2 linked regions of the Stegostoma tigrinum genome follow. The protein of the gene in region 2 binds, or shares a complex with, the protein of the main gene of each other region. Links are inferred from orthologs where the notes say so. Each region holds a gene or a part of one and is shown on either strand. Other genes may lie near its edges.

Region 1 (7,702 bases), about 53 Mb from region 2:
CATTGGGATTGATTGCCATTTCGCACATGCACACTGTTACTCATTTGTATTGATCGCCATTTTGCACACTCACATTGTTCCTCACTGAGATTGAAATCTATTTTTCATGCTGGCACTGTTCCTCGTTGAGATTCATCACCATTTCTCTCACTCATACCATTTCTCACTGAAATTGACACCTATTTCTCACACTCACAATGTTTCTGACTGAGATTGACACCAATTTCTCATACTCATGCTGTTCCACACTGAGATCGACACCCACGAGAATTCCTAGAAGCATGGCATCCCAACTGGAACTCCATCAACAAACACATTGATTTGGAGCCAATCTACCATTCCCTGAGAAAAAGAACAGGAAGTGACATCACCAACGCAGGAAATGACATCACCAACCCAAGGAAACCTAAACAGAGAAATAGAAAGCGGGACATAACACCAGCGCCTCATCGGAGGCTCACTGATGATGTTACCCAGAATGGTGACGAAACGTCTGAAAACGAACCTTCCAGCTCAGCGAGCAAACTCAATCCAGAACCTCAGCCTGAGCTACAAATCTTCTCAAAACTCGATTGATACCTATTTCTTACTCTCGCACTGTTCCTCACTGAGCTCGGTACTTATTTCTCACTTTCACACCATTCCTCACTGAGATCGATACCTATTTCTCACACCCACACTGTTCCTCACTGAAATCAATCCCCAATTCCCACACTCACGCAGTTCCTCAGAAAGATTCATCACTATTCTTTAAAACCTACACTGTTCCTCAGAGAATGACTTCCAATTCCCAACCTCACACAATTTCTCATGGAACATCACTCCAATAGCTCAAATTCACACTGATCCTCATTGCGATTGTAACATGATCAACAATCTGGACTGGATTCCCTGGTTAGGTCTGTGAATCTCGATCCAATCAGGGAACCTTGACAGATATAATAGAGTTGAGTGTCAGGAATATTGACACTGAGGTGCTTGAATTTGAATGGCACTGTACCATAGGCATGGACAGTTCACGTCGACTGATGGAAACCGAAAGAACTAGGGATGCTGTAAATTCGAAGCAAAACAGAAATTAATCAATTCTGAGGAAGGGTCACTTGACCTAAAATGTTAACTCTGATTTCTCCCCACAGACACTGCCAGAGCTCATAGGGAGTCATGACAGTTTCTCACAGAGATTCACTCCCATTGCTCATATTCACACTGTTCCTCACAGAGATTCACTCTCATTCCTCAAACCACACTGTTGCTCTCAGAGATGTCCCTCTGGATCTGATAGATATTTACCTAACAATGGGAATCACTCCCACTTACTTCAAATAATCAGCAACTGGTAGCTCTCAAAGATTTAACAAAGTGTGGAGCTGGATGAACACAGCAGGCCAAGCAGCATCTTAGGAGCACAAAAGCTGACATTTCAGGCCTAGACCCATCATCAGAGAGCTCTCTGATTTTGTGGTCCTGAGATGCTGCTTGGCCTGCTGTGTTCATCCAGCCCCACACTTTTTTATCTTGGATTCTCCAGCATCTGCAGTTCCCATTATCTCTGTTCTCAAAGATTTGTCTTGATAATTATGGGCTCTATTTACATCAATAGGACAGTGACACCATTATTACAATCAGCTCTGCTAAAATTCAGCAGAGGACAAAGGGTTTAATTTGGAAGAGGAAAATAGAATAAAGACAGTAAGCTTGCAAAGAATATTAAAAAATTTACTGCAAAAGCTTCTATTGATTAGTGAAAAAAAAACTGGTGAAGACAAACGTAGATCTCTGACAGAGATAATAGAAACTGCAGATGCTGGAGAATATGAGAATACAAGGTGTGGAGCTGGACGAACACAGCAGGCCAAGCAGCATCAGAGGAGCAGGAAGGCTTGGCTTTTCGGGTTGGGACCTTTCTTCTGAAATACTTTGGATCTGTCTTCACTAATGAGGACACAAATAACCTTCAGGAAAAGCTAGAGGGCAGAGGGTCAAGCATGAAGGAACTGAAGGACATTTTCTTTAGTCAGGAAATGGTATTGGGGAAAATGATGGGATTAAAACCCAATAACTCCCCAGGGAGGCCTGCAGCTCTGTATCCCAGAGCATGTAAGGAAGTAGCCCTAGAAATATTGGTAATTATTTTCCAACATTCTATTGACTCTGGAAGAGTTCCAATGGACTGGAGAGTAGCTAATGTGACACACTTTTTAAAAAAGGAGGGAGAGGAAGTAGGGAATTATAGGCCAGTTATCCTGACATCAGTGATGGGGAAATTGCTGAAGTCAATTATTAAGTATTAATTTAGCATTTGGAAAGTGGTGGCAGGATTGGTCCAAGGATTTGCTAAAGGGAATCTCCAGTCCATTGGAACTCTTTCAGAGTCTACAGAATGCTGGAAATCATGCTTGAAAAATCTTCTGGAAGACTTTGAGGATGTGACCAGTAGAGTGGACAAGAATGAATCAGTGGATGTTGTATATCTAGACTTTCAAAAGGCTTTTGACAAGGTTCAATGCAAGAGATTAGTAAGGAAAACTAAAGCTCAAGGTATCAGAGGTAGTGTATTGAAGTGGATAGAGAACTGGCTGGCAGGAAGCAGAGAGTTAGAATAAATGGGCCCTTTTCAGAGTGATCGGCAGTGATGAACGGGTGCTGCAGAGTTCTGTGCTGGGTCCTCAGCTGTTCATAATATATGTTCCTGATTTGGACAAAGGAATTGAATGCTATATCTCCAACTTTTCAGATGATACTAAGCTGGGTGTCCGTGTCTGCTGTGAGGAGGGTGCTAGGAGGCTGCAAGGTGACTTGGGCAGACAAACTGAGTGGCAAATGCCATATAATGGGGATAAATGTGAGGTTATCCACTTTGGTCACAAAAACAGGAAGGCAGATTATTATCTGAATGGTGGCAGTTCAGGAAAAGGTGAGGTGCAATGAGACCAGGGTGTCATGGAGGAACAGTCACTGAAGGTTGGTGTATTGGTGCAGCAGGCAATGAGAAAAGCTAATAGCAGCTGGCCCTCAGACCAAGAGGATTTGAGTTCGGAGTAAGGATGTTTTACTGCAGTTATACTGGGCCTTGGTGAGGGCACACCTTGAGTACCATGTGCAGTTTTAGTCTGTTAGTCTGAGGAAGTACATTCTTGCTATTTAGGGAATCCTGCGAAGATTCGTCAGACTGGTTTCAGGATGGCAGGGCTGATATATGAGGAAAGACTGGATCAACTGGACTTGTTATTTCTGGAATTTAGAAGAATGGGATTTGGGGGTGTGGTTTTTAGAAACATCAAATCCTGATGAGAATGGACAAGCTAGATATGGGAGGAATGTTCCTGATGTTGGGGAAGTCCAGAACTAGGTGTCACAATGTACGAATAAGGTGTAAGCCATTCAGGACTGAGATGAGGAAGAATTTCTTCACTCAGAGTTGTGAACCTGTGGAATTCTCTCCCACAGGAAGCTGTTGGGGCCAGTTCATTAGATATATTCAGAAGGGAGCTGGATGTGACCCTTGCGGCTAAGTGGATCAAGGGGTATGGAGAGAAAGTAAGAGTGGAATACTGAGAGTGCATAATCAGCTATGATCATATTGAATGGTGGTGTAAATTCAAGGGGACCACGTGGCCTATTCCTGCACCTAGTTTCTAAGTTTCAATGTTTCTGTGTAAAATGCAAGCACAGTCTCTTCATACAGGTTATAGTACTCGCTATTATATGTGTTCTAGCCTGTAAAATAACACAAATCCAGATTCTGATATTCCAACAGTTCCATTCAACACAATAGACACCAGCACAATACCCTTACATTCACCAAAAGAACTGCGGATGCTGTAAAACAGACACAAAAACAAAGTTGCTGGAAAAGCTCAGCAGGTCTGTCAGCATCTGTAAAGAGGACTCAAAGTTAATGTTTTGGACCTGGTAACCCTTCCCCAGAATTGATGGGAGCTAGGAAAATGTTGGTTTGCATGCAGAAGTCAGGGTGGGGGTAGGGGGTAAGGAGTAAAAAATAGGCAGAAGAAAGAGCTCAAAGAGAGAGAAGAACAGTTGGACAAAGCAGTTGAAAATGATCTGGCTAGTGGGGTGAATAGCTGTTAAGAGAGGCTGCTAGTGGCTAACAACAGGTAGTGTGCAATGGCAAGCTATGTGATAATAAGACCTGGGTATGTGGGGTAGGGCCTAGGACGTGGGAGAATATAGGCTCTAAAATTATTTAGCTCGATATTGAGTCCGGACGGCTGCAGGGTCCTCAAGCAGTAAACCAGTTGTTGTTTTTCCAGCTTGTGTTGAGCTTCACTGGAACACTGCAGTAAGCCAGAGACAGAGATATTGGCCAGGGAACAGGGTGATGTGTTAAAGGAGCAGGGAACTGCCAGCATACACATGAAGCTCATCTCCATGTGTATGCTGGCCCTCCCAGATGGAATGACGTGAAGATACAGGCATAATTAGCAAATTTGCTCACCGACACAGACCTGTATCAACTTTGTGTTTTTATTTCTTCCATGTTTGACAACTTCTGAGCAGGCTGTCAGGGCAAAGGCCTCACTGCCCAGTGCAGCAGTGTGAGTGTTAATGGCTCAATGATACCGTCTCAGCTCCTGCCTGGATTATTATTCTTTTGCCGTGGCTTAAATTGCTTTCTGCTGACAGGCAGGGTCAGAGTAATCCAAGGCTTTATAAGGGGGCTCAGAGACCTGGAGTGGGGGGGGTTTGATTGTGGCCTGTCATTGCTCAAGTCAGTCAGTTCCTGTGCTGGTTCGGGTCAGGTTCAGAGAGGATCACCATCGAGGGAAAGTAAGGAGAAAGTTTGCTTCGACTGAGCTGCACAACAAGCTGCAACCATGAATGGCACCGAAGGAGAGAACTTCTATATACCCATGTCCAACAAGACAGGTGTGGTTAGGAGCCCATTCGAATACCCGCAGTACTACCTGGCTGAGCCTTGGAAATTCTCCGTGCTGGCAGCCTACATGTTCTTCCTGATTATAACAGGGTTCCCCATCAATTTCCTCACCCTGTACGTCACCATCCAGCACAAGAAACTTCGGCAGCCTCTTAACTACATCCTCCTCAACCTGGCTGTTTCTGATCTCTTCATGGTCTTTGGTGGATTCACTACCACCACCATCACCTCAATGAATGGCTATTTCATCTTTGGACCAACTGGTTGTAACTTTGAAGGCTTCTTCGCCACACTTGGAGGTAAGATCCCGATGTGTTTTCATCCACTGGTTCATTGCTTGGTCCAATTTCAGGGATCAGGAGACATGAGTTCATTGCCAGTTCAAGCCCTTGTTTGCTCAGAAGCTGTATGTGGGGAAAATTCAATGGGATATTCCGCAGATAGATATTAATGAGGCTTTAAGTTAATTTATCTACAGCGGATGCGATAAAGTGTAAGAATTACATGTGTGACTTGATAAACCGCTTGCATTGCTTAGTGCAAACTTTGCTCAACGAGCAAAGTTAAAAGTTTGGAGCAAGAATATCGGGTTATAGATGTTATAATCAGATAAGCTAAGATACATTTCCTAGCTGTCTGGATGGGACTTCCGGAGAGTTCCAGAATTGTAATGCTGCAGAAGGATGCAGTCCAGACTATCCTGTTTGCAATGGTTCTATTAGCTCATGCCAGTCTCCTGTCTTATCCCCCTATCCCAGCCCCCCATTTCTAACAATTGCTGTCTTGAATGCCTCAGTAGAACCTGCCTCTACCATATTTCTAGGCAGTGCATTCCAGACCCTAACTAGTCACAATGTGGAAAAGATTTTTCTCACTTCCTCCTTGCTTTGCCCGTAGTGTTCAGTGGCGTGTGGGTTATAGGGGGATGGGTCAGGGTGGGTTGCTCCAAGGGGAGGTGTGGACTTGTTGGGCCGCAGGGCCTGTTTCCACACTGTAGGGAATCTAATCTAATCTAATCTAATCACTTTAAACCTATGCCCTGTCATTGTTCTTCCTTTTAAGAGTGTTTTGAACCCAGCCCTTCTGGTCCAGAGGCGCTGAAACTACTACCGTGCTGCAGGTCACTTAAAATGAGTCCCGTTAACATTTAGCAGCAAATGGGAGCAAGTCAGATTGCCTTCATACAGGGACAGTGAATTCTAGTGACGTTTGACAGAATATGATAACCCCTACACTAAAGGGACAAAATGATGCATCATGTTGTGCCATGTCTGATCCTGACTGCCTATTAAGGCCAAAGTCCCTGGGTATCAACAAGGGTAAAACGATAGAAGTTGGCTCAAGTTTCAATCCTCTAATCCTGGCAAAGAGAAAACTCAGTATAGTCTTCACATGGAAAAGGGAATAGTGAAGGGATCATTGGAACACGGTTTAAGCTGAGGGAATCTAGACAGGGTAAATGTGGAGGAATGATAATCCCAGAGTGGGGAGTCCAGTAAGGGGGGTCAGAGTTTAAGAATAGAGGGTAGGACATTTGGGAATAAGATGAGGAGAAATTTCTTCACCCAGACGGTGTAATTCTCTGCCACAGAAAGTAGTTGAAGTCACAACATTAATTTTTTTCAAGACGGAGTTAGAAATATTTCCTGGGGCTAAAGGAGTAATGCTGCAGAAGGAGGTGAGAAAGCAGGGAACAAGGGACCGAATGATTAAGTGTGATCATATTGAGCAGTCTCAAAGGGCAGATGACCTACTCCTGTTCATTTTCTCCATGTTCTATGTCCTCCTCTGCCTTTAATACTCTGACATGGCATTGGCTGTCCAGTAGAAAAAAACATTTAACGCAAAAATCTAGAGTGAAGAGAAATGGAGAGTTTGGAAACCAATAAAAGGAGGATAAGAAACAATGTTCTCACAGCAACCAAAGGATAGAAGAAATGGGGGTCACCATCAGAAGCAGAATATCAAGAACAGCAGTTGTGCAAACTAACTCTCAGGAGCAGAAATGGGTAACATGAAAACATCTGTTTGCTGAGCGATTCCAGCGATATTTGAGAACGGAAAATGACAAGACAACCAGAAAAACAATGTTAAAAGCTTGGAGAGAGAACAATGTGTGAATGAATATGAGCTTATCCCATTTCCATCCTGAAGATGAGTATATTTGCCTCAAAAGGATCAAGGAGAATCTTACAAATTTAAAACAGTTACACTGGAAATGCTTGGGTAACTGATGAACAAGAAAAGGAACAAGCATGGACAGGATATTTTGAAAGTGTCACTTTGGCTATGAAGATTTTCACTCATTTCTCCTAATGTGGATCATGTAATTTTGGAGACCTTGGGGAAGTTCCTGTGACAGTAAACGTGGTTCAACTAAATGATTGCAAAATTGGACAGGCTTTAAACAAGGGGTGAAATAAATCATGAAAACATTTAAAGGAACCTGGAAAAACTCCTGCTGAGCAGCAAATTCCAATTAGCATTCTGTGTACATGGTGGGACATGTAAGTAGTGCAAATTGTGATTCAGCGATAAGGCAGGGAGTAAATAATAGTGTAAATCATGCTTGGTGTAAGAAGGTGAATGTGAAGCCTAGTGTAAGTGGGAAACAATGTTAATTAGATGTGGCATTGATTGAAGTGGGTACAGAGTAAATAACTTGCAAATTAAATTTGCTCAAAATGTAATTTCATACAGTCCAAATCACCTTCAGGGGATGTAAAATATGGTGGGAATTGAATTTGATGACCATCAAATTTGATGTAAACTTCATGTGGTGTAAAGAGTTTGCTTTGATTT
Region 2 (7,077 bases):
ATTCGAAAGAAACACAGTTAGGCAGACATCAGCAGGTTGCGCTACCCCTTTCATCTACCCTACATTCAAAGCTACAGTCCCATAATATAATAATTTCATCCAGCAAAATATGATCCTAAGACAAAATAACCTTATAAATGCCCCAAGTTTGACAAAACTTTAAAATATAATTAATCCCTTATAATCATTAACCATATGCTTCTTGCCGTTTGCCACTATGGTTATTCCTCAACACTTAAAATTAATGAAGAGCAATTGAGAAAATTTTTTGCTTTTTAATATTGAGCTAAAACATATTTACTGGTCTATCTTCATAAAGAACGCCGCCACATCCAACAAATCCAGGCAGTGGTAGAACTTCCACATGTCACTTATGCGCAACAGTTAGGAAGTCAGAACCAGATAGCAAGCGTGCTAACTCAGTTTTGAAATACATTATATGCAAATATATTAAAAACATTTGAATAAAACCGGGAGAAACTCAGCAGGTCTGGCAGCATTTGTGGTATGAGAAACGGAATTAATATATGATGCCAACAGGACTCGGATCCAGAACTGAAGGGGGTAGAGGGGTAAAGAAATGGTGGGATTTGTGCTGTAGAAAGATGAGGGAGGAATAGGAGTGGACCTGATGATACAGGTGCTTCAGTGCCAAAGGCAAAGGGACTGTCAAAGGCAGTAGAGAATAGATAATAGTGAAGATTAGTTGTTAATGGCAGGCATTAGTTGCAGAAAATAGTTTTTCTGCGGCAAAGTGGGTGGAGGACATAATCAGAAGGGAAGATAGAGCTCATGGTCTGCAGAATGTTATGAAAGTTTAAAATGGAAATTCAATGGAGTAGGATAGAACTTCGTTAAAGTCAGCAATCCTGAGAGAGAAGTGGCAGTAAATTTAAAAAACAAAAAAAACAGCGGATGCTGTAAATCAAGAACAAAAGCAAAGTTGCTGGAAAAGCTCAGCAGGTCTGGCAGCATCTGTGAAGGAAAAATAGAGTTAATGTTTCAGGTCCGTTGGATCTTCCTCAGAACTTCTGTTAACGTTAACTCTGCTTTTTCTTTCGCAGATGCTGCCAGAGCTTTCCAGCAACTTTGCTTTAGAGGCAGTAAATTAAACTAGTCATTTGTTTGAATGTTTAGTTCAATACAAAATCATGCACAGAAAGCAAATTAAAATGAGGGAATTGAAAACAAACCATATGAAGATTCAAATAAGATCAAGTACAGGCCAGTCGGCCCTTCGATTCTGTTCTATCGTTCACTAAGATCTTAGCTGATTTGATTTCAACCTTAACTCTACATTCCTGCATATCCCTGTTTGATAGCATTTCCTCCTCTTTGTAATCAAGAATCTATCTCCTTCTGCCTTAAAAGTATTTAAATATTCTGCATCTATTGCCTCTTGAGGAAGGAAATTCGAAAGAAACACAACCATCTGGCAGAAAAACATTTCTCGCAAATGGGTGACCCTCAATTTCTAAACCATGGCCCTAAGTTTTAGATTCTCTCACAGGATAAAACATCCTTTTCACCTCTACCTCATCAAGACCTCCTGGATATCACATGCTTCAATTAAGTCATCTCTGATTATCCTAAACTCCAGAGAACACAGGACCAGCCTGTCTAGTCTTTCCTCATGAGGCCACTCCAGGAATAGTCCAGTTAACAAAGGATTTGTTTTCAAAACTTCAAAATTTTAACTTTTAAAATTCTCCAACAATAATCAAAATCTGAATAAATAAGGCTTTATGTTTGTCAGTGCATATTTTCCAGGCCAGAGAGATTGTTGTCAGGAATTAATCCTCAAGGCGCCATTAAAATTTGTCTGTGTGTAGTTTGCACATTCTCCCCGTGTCTGTGCGTGTTTCCTTCAGGTGCTCCAGTTACCACCCACAGCCCAAAGATGTGCAGGTTAGGTGAGTTGCCCATGGTAAATGCAGGCTTATGGGGATAGGGAGAAGATCTGGGTCTGAGTGGGATGATCTTCGGATGGTTGGTGCAGACTCGGTGGGACAAATGGCTTCTTTCCGCACTGTGGGGATTCTATTCTATGGTCCTATAAAATTTGCTTACAACTGAGTTGAAAGTCTTCATTTTCCAGGCATATTTAAAGCATATTTGATGTGTAAGTATCCTACTTGCTCACACTTGGTGTGTTTGAAAGTCTGGTCTTTGAGCAAGAGTCACTATAGTGAAACATGTCCTGAATTTCCACATTAAACAGCACATGTATGAGTGCCAGCTGTTGCAGAATGATGTTCCGTAGCAATGATGACTGCTGAAAACAGTATCCAGGCCTACAGCTTTGGAGTGAGAGTATCACCAGTTAGTTAGTCTTTGACTTGACATTGCATGAAATAATGATTAAACAGGAAGATATTGGCATGGTATGCCATTCCTGTTACCTATTTAGCATTTATGCATATACCTTCCAGTATTGGTCATTAAACATCAATGAGGAACAGGGTCCCTGGCTTATTCTTTCTTCTCAGGCTCAAAGTTGTTCAATTTCTGTCCTATACCTGCCCCTCCAGTTACACAAGGCTGACTCAGAACAGATCAAAATTATCTTATCCGCTTCTCTAATGAAAAACTGCAACAGTAAATTAGACTAAGAACTACTCGCTTATCTACAGATGCACAAAGCAGCCAAAGCACATGCCTTTGTCTGTCCCGTTAGTTTCTTTTCATACATGTTTTGCTAATGCTGACACTTTCCCAAAGGATAGAAAATCAAAACACATGATGTGCGTGAAGTAGACTAAGTATCAATTGGATACCCACTAAACGTGTCAGAGAAAGTGATGACTTGTCAATTTAATTGTAAGTGATTTTTAATAGAATCTTACATCTCAAACAACCTCTCTGGCCCTGAAATCTAAATTTTACAAACATAGAGCCTCATTCCTTCCAATTTTAATTATGAGTGAGATTTTTGGGAAACATTTTGTCCTAGCCAGAATCTGAGGTTAATAACTTGAGGCAGCCTCTCCACATAAAGAATGGCCATCTAGGAATCTTTCTCACTGTAACCAACCACAGGCATGTCCGAATCATTTGCAGGTTGACAATCTACCTGCATGGCCATGGTATCAATGAAGATTCAATGTCCATCAGATCCCAGAGAGGACTTAAAACTGGAACAGAGGTAGGTGTACAGCTCAAAGTATCACAAAATCCAAACACCAGCATTATTGCAAGTTTCTCAGATATTTGTTTATGTCAATTCTAAGCTTTCTTGACAATTACTTCTCGCTGCAGTATCATGAAGATCACTAGCTAGTCAAGGCTTCAACTCAGCTTTCTTTCCTTTGATGGGATTGAGGTCAAGCAGACTTGACAAGTTGTCTTATAAAACCTGTAATCACATCAGAGAGTCTTAAACGTACTTAGCGTGAATATGACCATCAGATCTCTGAAGATAAGAGAAGGAGCTTGATATTGATCTGCTTGATCTGCCAACAAGAGGAAAGAAAGATAAAAATGAAAGTTTCTTTCGAAATAGAGCAACAAAACAATGAGATAATGGCAAATTTAAGCAGAGTTTTGAGCAAACATAAAATTGAAACATTATCGAGGAAAATACCTGATTTGGAAAACTTACTTTCCTCAACGATACAGTTCGAACTCCACATCATAAGATAACAACAGTAATGGAACCTCATTTTAACATGAAGGACAGCTTTCCATACTGGTTTCCATGTTGCATACTGAGTACTGCTCGCAATTAAAGGGAAAGATCTCCCACATACTTAATGGTCAGCTCTGACACCCCTATGTGCATGGCATGGTAGATATAAACACACACACACACACACACACACACACACACACACACACACACACACACACATTCAGTCCAGACGTAGGCATTTTTGCCTTTAGCAACTGCATGAAGATTTAAGGATTTATCTTTGAATTGGACCACAGGATCAGCTGACAGCAGCAAGTCATTAATTCTGTTTTACACACCTTCCTCTATTCTATCCTTGTCCTTGCCTCTGATTGGAATACAGGTCTCACATGGCACATCCCAATTCCAAAATCCTTCTAAGAAATGCTTAATGCCAGATTTAGTGTTCAGTCCAGAGAGTGATCAACTAATGCCCACACAGGTCCCTAGCTGGCGACCCTGAACTCAACGATAGAGACAAGGTCAGGGCAGTCTCTCCCACAGTGTAAGCCTGGCCGTACTGTCTTCTGGGCAGCAGTGGCATTTCCAAACTCTCTCAACCATGGGAGCAGGAGCCAGCGCAGAAGAGAAGCACTCAAGGGACCTGGAAAAGAAGCTGAGAGAAGATGCCGAAAAAGATGCAAGAACAGTCAAACTCCTACTGCTGGGTAAGTACCCGTTGAATCACTTAGAAACTGGAGGCTTTGTAATGTTTAAACTCTCAGTCAACAAAAGGTTGCATTCGAGGTCAGACTTCAAACCCACCAAAAGTTACAAATAGATGAAGCTGCATCTGTTAAGTATTTGAGCTTATGTACCTGTTTGCCAACTGCGGTAATAGGTTACTGTTTCCTGTGTATGGGGGCTTTTCTATGGAAGTTAATTAGAAAATGATGAAAACTGTGCCAAGGCAGGAATCATTTATCTTACAATTAAGGATTCATAGAATGCATACAGTGTGGAAGCACACCATTTGGCCCAAGTCCATACTAACCCTCCAAAAAGCATGTCACCCGGACTATCCCCATTCATTATCCCTGTAACCCTGTATTTCCTATGGCGAATCCACCTAACCAGCACATCCTTAGACTGTATGAGGAAACTGGAACCTATGGAGGAAACCCGGAGAACATGTAAACTCCTCACAGACAGTTGCCAAAGAATGGAATCAAACGCAGGTCCCTGGCATTTTGAGGCAGCAGTGTTGACCACTGAGCCACCGTGCTAATTCCTTTTAGCCAGTGAAAAGTTTAACAAAACATAAGTAGTAATAAAGAAAGAAAGTATAGTTGGAATCATTCCTTATAAACGATGTTCCTTTGTGCCACTGTGTCACTTAACGTCATTCTTTATGAGGTGCCACTCATTTATTTGCCACTTTTCCCATAAAAAGCATTCCATAGCTGGAATTTGTTCTTTCTATTACATCATGAAAGATTGAGCAGTGGTCCTTGTAATTAATTACATCAAAAGTTTAAATTCAGTTAAAATATTCAAGAAAGGTCCAATAAAATATACATACGTTACTGTGATTAGAACCTAATTGTAGAGTGATTGCATGTTAAATGCACAACACCATGAGAGAATCAGATTTAGATTTAGATTTCGACTTTATTCTCACGCGTCCTCAAGTACTGAAGCGCAGGAGTACTGTGAAAAGCTTTCAATGTCGCCACACACTGTGCCATCTTAGGCACCAATACCTAGGTACAAAAACTTAGTTAAAAGCAAAACATTATAGCCACTCTTATTACAACGTAAGGAAAAAGAGAAATAAGGTTAAAAGTTAAACATTTACACTCCTGATTTACAGAACCAGTCTTTGCATTCAGAAATTATTGTGCTCTCATCATTTTTCAGGTGACATGTTTGCAGGACACATAGAAACATAGAATGAAAATAGAGAAAAATAGTGGTGGGCCATTTAGCCCTTTGAGCCTGCTCTGTTATTCATTATGACTGTCCAACTCATTAGCATTTGGAAAACTTTGAAATTCTTACACTAAATCTTTCATGAGTTCTACATTTGTCTTGAAAAATGTTCAGAAGCAACACTATTTGAATGATGCTTGGAGATATGAACACTGAAAAAGACAGTAAGGAAAAGCTATTCCACCCAATGTAATCAATTACAATGCTACTCTGTCCTTTATCCCCACTATATTGCATGGCGGTTTCCTGACCAGTTACCAATGCTGACTATGATTATCTGAAGAAGATGACCCATGAACTTACTGTGCACAATATAGAGTCATACTCAAAGTGAATGACAACAATGAGCTAATTCATGAGCAGCGCACTCATTTTTTACCTTATGGCATTATATGTAGCTACAATTACCTTACTTTATGCTACTCATAATACCTGTCTCAAATTTACTTTGTAACCTCTTTGGAACATTTCTTTCAATTTTATCACGCCACAAACTCACAAAAAAAGCTCATGTACTCCCTGATACAATTTAATGTAACATCCCGGGTTTAACTTGTCAGTTCTTCTCGGTATCTCAAATTTACTTATTATCCCTAACCATCAACCAACATCACCAAACCAGACTATCATTTCATTTATCACACTGCTATATGAAGGAGTTTGCCGTGGTTGGTTTTGTGCTTCCTCTATCGCAACAGTCAATGTCCTCCAAAAGTAGAAACTGAGAATGTGGACAATACACAGTAGGTCACGCAAAGAGTTGATATTTGCAGTGTGTGACCTTTCATCAGGACAGGAAGGAAACAGGCTTGAAATGTCAACTCTGTTTCTCTGCACAAATGCTGCGTGACCAGTTGAGTATTTTCAATATTTCCTTTCTTTTATTTTGGATTTGGTTCATCAGCATTTTGAACACTCAGAAGTACTTCATTGGTAATAAAGAGTTTTGGGAAAGTGGAGGTTGCGAAATGTGCTAATGTGAAAGCAGGTCTTTCATTTTTATTCCTTCTGCATTATATTTTGTTTACCTCATTGAACCAACATCTGATGATAAAGAACTATGGATGCTGGAAATTTGAAACAAAAATGGGAATTGCTGGAGAAACTCAGCATGCCTGGCAGCATCTATGGAGAGAAAAAATAGGGTTAACTTTAGAGTCCAGTGACCCTTCCTCAGAGACCCTGAGATTTCTTATTGCAATTATACAGTGCCTTGGCGAAATATTCACACCTGGAATATTGTGGGCAGTTTTGAGCTCTGAAGAAGATTGTCACCATAGAGGGAGTGCAGCCAAAGTTTACCAGACAAATTCCTGGGATTGGCATTCGAGGAAAGATTGAGTTGTCTAGGGTTATATTTGCTGAAGTTCATAAGAATGAGGGGGATCTCATGGAGAAATTCTAACTGGACTAGACAGGGTAGGTGCAGGGAGGATGTTCCTGGATGACGAGGAAGTTCAGAACTAAGGGCCACA

The links. The genes of interacting proteins can lie anywhere in the genome.
Region 1: the proteins of gnat1 (region 2) and rhodopsin are in contact, whole or in part, in a cryo-EM structure (PDB 6OYA), measured with the Bos taurus proteins. The link is inferred for Stegostoma tigrinum from reciprocal best matches to the Homo sapiens genes GNAT1 and RHO. Residues at the interface, in NP_851365.1 of Bos taurus: Ala27, Arg28, Asp189, Leu190, Val312, Glu314, Tyr316, Asp333, Ala334, Asp337, Ile340, Lys341, Asn343, Leu344, Lys345, Asp346, Cys347, Gly348, Leu349, Phe350; in NP_001014890.1 of Bos taurus: Leu72, Arg135, Val138, Val139, Lys141, Ser144, Asn145, Phe146, Arg147, Val230, Ala233, Gln236, Gln237, Ser240, Thr242, Thr243, Lys245, Ala246, Glu249, Val250, Met253, Met257, Asn310, Lys311, Gln312.

Annotation. Positions count from the first base shown.
Region 1 is NC_081364.1:67,532,582-67,540,283, forward strand, and holds the start of rhodopsin, read left to right. Parts: upstream 1-4,683; 5' UTR 4,684-4,838; coding exon 4,839-5,199; intron 5,200-7,702. UniProt on the Homo sapiens protein: Photoreceptor required for image-forming vision at low light intensity. Required for photoreceptor cell viability after birth.
Region 2 is NC_081364.1:14,868,392-14,875,468, forward strand, and holds the start of gnat1 (guanine nucleotide-binding protein G(t) subunit alpha-1), read left to right. Parts: upstream 1-4,060; 5' UTR 4,061-4,232; coding exon 4,233-4,338; intron 4,339-7,077. UniProt on the Homo sapiens protein: Functions as a signal transducer for the rod photoreceptor RHO. Required for normal RHO-mediated light perception by the retina.